Rattus norvegicus: one gene and its partner. The protein of the gene in region 1 interacts with the protein of each later gene in a pairwise test. Links are inferred from orthologs where the notes say so. Each region holds a gene or a part of one and is shown on either strand. Other genes may lie near its edges. The genes, in order: Kcna3 and Cav1.

The links.
Region 2: the proteins of Kcna3 (region 1) and Cav1 come close enough for resonance energy transfer, tested with the Homo sapiens proteins (2 studies listed by BioGRID). The link is inferred for Rattus norvegicus from reciprocal best matches to the Homo sapiens genes KCNA3 and CAV1.

Annotation. Positions count from the first base shown.
Region 1 is NC_086020.1:197,319,067-197,323,066, reverse strand, and holds Kcna3 (potassium voltage-gated channel subfamily A member 3), read right to left. Parts: upstream 2,744-4,000; 5' UTR 2,490-2,743; coding exon 912-2,489; 3' UTR 790-911; downstream 1-789.
Region 2 is NC_086022.1:46,605,259-46,609,574, forward strand, and holds the start of Cav1 (caveolin-1), read left to right. Parts: upstream 1-1,279; 5' UTR 1,280-1,434; coding exon 1,435-1,464; intron 1,465-2,009; exon of another isoform or gene 2,010-2,162; intron 2,163-2,713; exon of another isoform or gene 2,714-2,890; coding exon 2,891-3,055; intron 3,056-4,316. UniProt on the Homo sapiens protein: May act as a scaffolding protein within caveolar membranes. Forms a stable heterooligomeric complex with CAV2 that targets to lipid rafts and drives caveolae formation. Mediates the recruitment of CAVIN proteins (CAVIN1/2/3/4) to the caveolae.

The DNA of each region.
Region 1 (4,000 bases):
ATGACAACCTTTTTCGGGTTTCCCAGGAAACACGGGTTGCTATGGGAACTGCATCAGTCAGGTCCGAATTAGTAACTTCCGCTGGAAGGGGTGTCTGCCACTTTAATCTTCCTGTGATACTGCAGAAGCTTATCTCTCAGATGCATCAGGAATTTCTGTTGTTTCTCCTGGCAGCACTGAAAATGAGTTTCTAGACTTTCGTAGATATTGACTTGGGCATGAACTCACAACTTCATTGGAATCTGTGTCTAATGTTTTCAAAATGCTTTGCAAACTCCGAAGAGTTAATAGTCAGATCAGGACATTTGGGGCATTTCCCTTTTGGTTCAAAGTTATTGTGAACCTGAAATTCTTAGAGGGGAGATTCATACTGAAAGGCCAGTCCAAAAAAAAAATTATAGAGGGTTTACACGTCAACACTCTAGTTAGACTTTCCACCCACACATCCAGAGGTTAAGTAGTTACACTTAGTCAGGAAATAATGCTGAAAAGTCCACCGAACAGGAGCATCATTTAAGTTCTGCCTCCTTTACTTAGTAAAGAAACAACTATCTTTTGATTTTTGAGGTCACACAGTTACTCTGACTCTATAGTTTCATTTCCTCTCAGGATGTAGCTTTAGGGCTTGCACAAGAAACCAAGCTTAATGTAAGTTTGTTGTTCACAAAATTAAGAAACAGGGAGAGAGAGAGGGAGAGAGAAAAAGAGCTGAGAGAATGCAGCCCACTTGCAAAACCAGGCACCTGTTTCAGTATGAAGCAATAGGGAGAGGGAGAATGAAGTGTGCTTTTCCACTTCTTCATGTACTTTCCTTGATGAATGGTCTGGAAATGTATAAATCAAGGGCATACACAGACCAAGGGGGCATGTTCCACACAATACTGGGCACAGAATGGCAATCGTATCATCTATTAGACATCAGTGAATATCTTTTTGATGTTGACACAGGAGTTGGGATTATTGTTGGTGGTGCAAGTGGCAGTGGAGTTGCCCGTTTTGAAGGGGGTCTGGGGGAAGGCGCTGTGGTTCATACCCCCCTCTTCGATCACCATATACTCCGACTTACTCAGAGTGGAGTTACTCCGGGCTTTTCGGAGCTCCTCTGCTGAAGAGGAGAGGTGCTGGCAGCTTCCCACGTGCATGTACTGGGCTTGCTCTTCCCCTTCTGTCTCCCGGTGGTAGAAGTAATTGAAGTTGGAAACAATCACAGGAACCGGCAATGCAATGGTCAAGACACCTGCGATGGCACAAAGAGAGCCCACAATCTTGCCTCCTATGGTCACTGGGTGCATATCACCATAACCGACAGTTGTCATGGTTACCACGGCCCACCAGAAGGCATCCGGGATACTGTTAAAACCCGAAGAAGGGTCGTCTGCCTCAGCAAAGTAGACTGCACTGGAGAAAAGGATGACCCCAATGAAAAGGAAGAAAATGAGCAGCCCCAGCTCTCGCATGGAAGCCTTCAGTGTCTGTCCCAGGATCTGCAGCCCCTTAGAATGGCGGGAGAGCTTGAAGATGCGGAAGACCCTTACTAGGCGGATGACCCTCAGGATGGCCAGTGACATAGCCTGCTGCCCATTACCCTGTCGCTCAGCCAGCTCAGTGCCCAGAGTAATAAAATAAGGGATGATGGCTACAATGTCTATCAGGTTCATGATATTTCTGGAGAAGGTGGCTTTACTGGGGCAAGCAAAGAATCGCACCAGCAGCTCAAAGGAGAACCAGATGATGCACAGGGTCTCCACTACGAAGAAGGGGTCCGAGAAGCTGGAGGCTCCAGAGGAGGCCCCCGACGTGCTGTTGTTGGCAGCCTCAAACACGTCCTGCGACGGAGAGGCGGGATAGTCCTTCTCGTCGCGAAACTCGGGTAGTGTCTCCAAGCAGAAGATGACAATGGAGATGAGAATGACCAGCACTGACACGATGGCAATGCCCCGGGCCGGCCCGGAGCTCTCGGGGTATTCGAAGAGCAGCCACACCTGGCGCTGGAAGTCACGGCGGGGCAGAGGTCGCTCCTCCTCCCGCAGGAAGCCCTCGTCCTCACGGAACTTCTCCATAGCCTCCTCACCCAGTTGGTAGAAGCGGATCTCCTCGGAGAAGATGTCGATGGGCACGTTGACCGGCCGGCGGATGCGGCCCCCGGACTGGTAGTAGTAGAGGATGGCGTCGAAGCTGGGTCTGTTGCGGTCGAAGAAGTACTCATTGCGGAGCGGGTCGAAGTATCGCATGCGCCGCTTGGGGTCGCCTAGCAGCGTCTCAGGGAACTGGCAGAGGGTCTTGAGCTGTGTCTCGAAGCGCAGCCCGGAGATGTTGATGACCACGCGCTCCCCGCAGCAATCCTGCTCGCCCGCGGCGGGCAGCGCGGGCGGCAGCGGTTCGTAGCGGTCGCAGCCGCCGCCACTGACACAGCCTCCCTGAGGCGGGTCCCCGCCGCCGCCTCCCGCCGCTTCTGGCTCCAGCAGGTGGTCCCCGGGCACCACGGTCATGTCTGGCGGCAGCTCGGCGTAGCCTGGGCTCTGCAGGATGCGCGCGCCGCCGCCCGCGGGGTCCAGCGCAGGGTGGGCGCGGTGGCGGGCGGAGGGCTGCGGCGGCCGAGCGCGGGAGGCGGCGATGCTCTCCTTCCCTGCTGGCGGTGGCCAGCTCCGAGTCGCTCCTCCTGGAGCTCCCCGCCCCACCACCGCCTCTGCCCCACGAGCCCGGCCCCGCCGCCTGTTGCTGCGGCTGCCGCGAGGCTCTGTCAGGGCTGGCGCGGCCCGCCCGGCTGCACCGTCCAGACGCCTCCTCCTCCCTCCTCCGCACCCCTCCCCGCGAGGCGCGCGCCCGCCTCTCTGCCGCCGCCCCCGGGTTTCCCGCCCACTGCGCGCGCGCGCTCCGCTTTCCGCTTGCCACCCCTGTTCCTCGCCCTTCTTTTGTCACTGGGTCGCCTTCGACTTGCACCCCACTACCCAGACCCCGCGGAACCCCTACCCTGCCAGACTGGCCTTGGAGGAACCCGGCCGCCCGACCACGTTCCTGGGCTCTACTTGCTCGCCCCTGGTCAGCGCGCGTTCCCTTCCTGCGCGTGGTCGAGTCCTAATCTCAGGGCTATTAGAACCGCGCAAGGACCACACCTCAGCACTCGAAGGCCCTCCTGGTCCTTAACACTCTTTAATACTTTGTCTGGGCAGCAGGAAGGGCAAGTTCCACCAGAATAGGTAACAAAAGTCCTAAGCACGAGGGCCAGGGCTGGCTGAGCCTCCTGACCCTGAGTGTCTTGGGAGGAGGGGCTGCAAGCTAGGTTGTCTGTGCTAGTTCAGGATACTCTGGGCCCAGCATCCTGGGGTAGAAGAATGCTAGAACCTGGGTGTTGATGCTGTAAGGAAGCAGAACTGAGTTAATGGGTAACGTAGGGTCTAAAGTCTTCCCAGTAGCTTAAAAAGAGGGTCCTTAAAGGCATTCAGAGATCTCACTTTTATAATGCTAGCTCAGTGTGGGCAAGCATTATAAAATCAGGGCCAAGTTTCTGGTCAGGACAGTGGGAAAAATAAGGGGGGGGGGTGGTAACGAAAATTCACCACACCTTACTGTGTGATAAACAGGCCTGATACCTAGAGTTTACTTAATACCATGACACCTGTGTGGTAGGGAGCTTGAGGTGTGCTTTAGCTGATAATGTGGAAAAAGCCTTCATTTTGCAGATGGTGCCTCTCTTGCTTGATTTGGGCCTACAGAAAAACATTTACACCCCCTCCCCCAACTGTTTCTTCAAAGTGTACTGGTTGCTTTAAACATAATTTCTGTTCCCAAACATTTTAGCTACCCCAAGTATAAGTACCAGAGTTACAAAATTCTGTTGTTTTTCCCTTGAATCATTACTGTTGATTGCGAAAGAGGAACTATTGTCTAGACGTACACCACTCATTCTCCGAAGTGAGCTGAAAATTCAATTTGATGCAAGAGTGATTTGTTGTCATTCCTACCACCTCCCCCAACCACCAAACTCTATGGCAACGAGGGC
Region 2 (4,316 bases), on another chromosome or scaffold:
ACACTGTACTGCTAACCACCCTCATTTGATCAGTATGACATACGCAAGTGTTGAAGTAGCACACTGCACCCCACTAACATTACGCTAATATCACATGCTAATAAAACAATAATTAAATTACTTACAAATAATATTTATAATTTATAATTCCTCATACATTGATAATTAATTAATTAGCAATTAATTCAAAGGATAGATTGTCTCTTTTCCCTCTAAGCAGGACCCAGATGATGAGTTCTTTTATCTATTTTCAGGCCCCAGGTTTTGTCTTCAAGACCCCATGCTCCTGCTTCTTGGTGGCCATTTTAAAATGTACTCTCTGTCCCATTCAGAGTACTACGGAAGTATTTGCATAGGAACGCTTAGGTAAAACATCCCTTTCATCCTTATTGGGGGTGGTGAGCTGCTGAGTTGCTGTCTCTAATTAGTAAAACGCAACCATGATTTATATTATTCCTCTTTACAATAAAACAAAAGGAGGTTGGTCAGCTTTTGAAACTGATATTTAGTTGTTAACATAAAAAAATTTTGTCAGACAACAACAACAACAACAACATATTCTCTCACAGCCAAGCACATATTCCTGGGCCAGTATCCTCTGCGGCAGAGGATGTAGTTCAGTGACAGAGTGTTTATCTCTAGGTAAAATGCACAAAGCCCTGGGTTTGATCTCAAGCCAAGGAGGGAAAAATCCTCTCTGGTAACAAGCTTGAACCTCCAAGTAAAATTTTCTGCAGTTGAAAACATTCAAAGTGCTTTATGATTACGGTATAACCTGTTGGTAGGAACTTCATTTTCTTTATTGCAGAGGCGCCCACACAGATTCCTTCGCTGTGTTTATATAAAAAATGTTCCCTCAGGTTCCCAGCCATCTCTTCTCTATCTTTCTCTGTGAAACAAGAAGAGAGATCAGTCCTAGTGGGTAATGGAACGTGGGCGAAGCGGGAAGGGAAGCGGCTTAGGATAGGGCAGAATTCTTTCCGTGGAGCCGGATGCCCATACTGGGCATCTCAGCAAACTCTTGTGCTCCCTCCACCCCTGCTGAGATGATGCACTGGGAAAACACGCGCTCTCCCCTGGATGCCTCTCTGTTGGTTTATAGCTGGGAAAACGTTGCCGCGGGTCTAAAATATCTGCCCAAACAGACAGCCTAGCTCTGATGAAGGCTTTCTCACAGGCTCTCAGCTCCCCGCGGGCGCTCCCCGCCCTCCGCTGCCAGAACCTTGGGGATGTGCCTAGACCCGGCGCAGAGCACGTCCCAGCCAACTGAGAGCAGAACAAACCCCTGGCCAACAGCCAAGAGGCTCCCTCTCAGCCACCGCCCCCCGCCAGCGCCTTTCCCCCTCTATACAATACAAGATCTTCCTTCCTCAGTTCTCTTAAATCACAGCCCAGGGAAACCTCCTCAGAGCCTGCAGCCAGCCACGCGCCAGCATGTCTGGGGGTAAATACGTAGACTCCGAGGTAGGCTTGGGTGAGGGCGCGCCGGCTCCAAAGTGCCTGCTTTTGCTATCTCGCACTCCAAATGCTCGGGCTGCTTTCCTAGCCCCAGCCCTCTCTCCACCTTCACAGCACTCGAGCTGGTACCGCGGAGGAATGGGCTGGGTGGGGAGGTGAAAAGCTAGGAATGCCTTAGGGCTTCCTTTTGGAGAGGGGACCAAAGGAGCCAACGGAGAAAAGAAGAACCCCCGGGTACTGTTTTATGAGTCTGAGTCTGCCAGACTTAGAGAAGTTTTCCAGATGACACTGTTCGCGAGACCCCCCTGCGGCGGTCCAGCCCCTACCTACTAAGAGGCTTAGAGCTGGTGGGGTGTGTGTGTGTGTGTGTGTGTGTGTGTGTGTGTGTGTGTGTGTGTGTGTGTGTGTTCGGGTAAAGGAGATTCATTTGCCCGCAGTCCTGAGGACAGCCCCCCGCAGGAGCCTAAAGTGGCTGGCATGGGCGGCGCCGTGCGTGTATAGCACTTAGCGAAGTTCTCGAGAACTTCAATAATTCTGCCCCTGAGAGGCCCGGAGGAGGTCCGAGGTGGGGGAGCCTCTTTCCTCACGAGTACCACCGCCATTGTCAACTACTTCTTGGTACTCTGGTGGACTGAATGTGGCGACCTGGGTTCCCCAATATGACTACGGTTCAGCCTGGAGTAGACAGCCTGGGGGTGATCTAAGTAAGGGTGGGTGAGGGAGTCCTTCAGGTGACATTTCGTTCTGGGGCATGGGGGCGGGGTGAGGGGTCTTGGTACATGCCTCTGTTTAAAGAAGTGTGTTAGATTGTGACCCACTTATTCACCCCCACGGCCTAAGGAACACCGTGGAGCACGGGGTGGAGTGGGGAGGTAAAAAGGGTAGGGGCTGCAGCAGGTGCAAGGGAGAAGCACTGAGGGACAGAGAAGATAGGATCATTAAGTCTGTCAGCAGGGTCCAGAGGGATCTTGATAATGTTGGAAGGGATCGTAGGACGGGGTTAACGGTTCAGAGAGGGACAGAGGAGCAGGTGAGGTTGAGGGACACGGGTGGCCTGGTGGAGAGAAGGAATACAGAGGAGGCGGAAAGCGAATCCCAACCCCTGGCCTAGGGAGCTACAGTCGGGAGTCGCGAGGAGTAGGAGGGCGCATGGGGCTTCGCCCTGACCCCTGGCGGCGGCGCGGGAGGCAGGCGCTCCCCGCCTGGTACCGAGGGGTGTGGTGTCCTCCGCTCCGTCCTCTTAAAAAGCTTGCAGCGTTGGAGTTTTCTGTGTGCAAAGCCTTTCTCCTGGGAGGTTGAAGCTAGCAAAAGTTGGAGCTCCAGGCTCCCCCCACCAACAGCCAGGCTGACTCTTGACTCTTGTTTTTCTTTCTGAACTCTTCTTCCCACCGCTGTTGCCGCCCTCCCCTGGCTTGGCCGGTTGCCCTCACAGGGACATCTCTACACTGTTCCCATCCGGGAACAGGGCAACATCTACAAGCCCAACAACAAGGCCATGGCAGACGAGGTGAATGAGAAGCAAGTGTACGACGCGCACACCAAGGAGATTGATCTGGTCAACCGCGACCCCAAGCATCTCAACGACGACGTGGTCAAGGTAAACACTGGTTGCTGTTTGCGTCCCTCAATGTAGTCTCCTAAGCTTTGGCAGACTGGCACTGTCTTTTGAGCTTAGCAGTGTGTGAGCCCCTGCGGGTCCAGTGTCAGAAATGTCGCATCTGCCAGCCTCCTCCTGCTGGCTAGTTCAGTAGGAATTTAGCCAGTTGTTGTGGGGGGGTGGGGAGTCCATAGACCCCCAGCCCCACACATGCACATTATTTCGGAACGGACGATGATTATGGTCCATTGGAAGGTTAAAGTCCAGTTACAGGTCTTTTATTTGTGGGTGAAACAATTGTGTGAGACTTTAGGTGAATATTAGGACGCAGAATGAGCATATCCCTTCAGCTAAATAATCTAAATGATTAGCCTAAAAATAGTAAATGAGTGGAAATGCTTCCAACCGTTAACATATGCAGATATATGTACAACTTTTGTATGCAGTGTGTGTGTGTGTGTGTGTGTGTGTGTGTGTTTAACTCTAAAAACATAGCACACGTGCATGGGCAAGCCAATTTACCAAACTGAAAATCATTTCCACCTCTTGACTTCTGGATCCCTCTAGTTAAATGTGTGCATCTGTGGTGAAAGCCAAGGTCAGCCTGCCCTGGGCTAAGAGAACACAGGCTGGTGTTCCATTTTACATTTTCAAGATGTACTTGCTGGGATTTAAAATACATTACTTTCCTGAGATGTTGACCCATGTAGACCTGACACAGTGGTCTGACTTTCATTATCAGTTCGTTATTCAACTTTGACCCTTTCAACAATTCTGGCTCAAGGAATTTCTTGTCTGAATCCGACTGGGTTGAGAAATCCTGGACTTGAGCTGTCCTTGGCAGAGGGTTTCCTCTGAGTGGCCTGGAGGGCCAAGGAAAATCCTAGCTTCGGGGGTTCCAGTGGGAAGGTGCTGTCCTGCCCAGCCCCTAATTCACCACTGAGGAGTGATGCGGCTTCCACCCACAGTCTCCTATCTAAGGATGGGAGGAGCTCCAATAGAGTTTCACCTTCATGAATAATATATTTCAGAAAGAGAAATAGTTTTCATCTACAACTGCAGGGAAAGTGTACCTGTCAAAATTGACTCTCTTGCTTTTCTGGGAGAGGGAAAGGAAAATTGGACCATTTTCTCCTGGCCACATTGTGGAATATTTAAACCCAGCAATGAAAAGGCACCTCATAAATTGGAAGTTAAGATTGCTAAAAAATCCGTTTATTAGCCACACTTCCTTAAAGGGGAAAGAGCAGCTTGCTTTTCC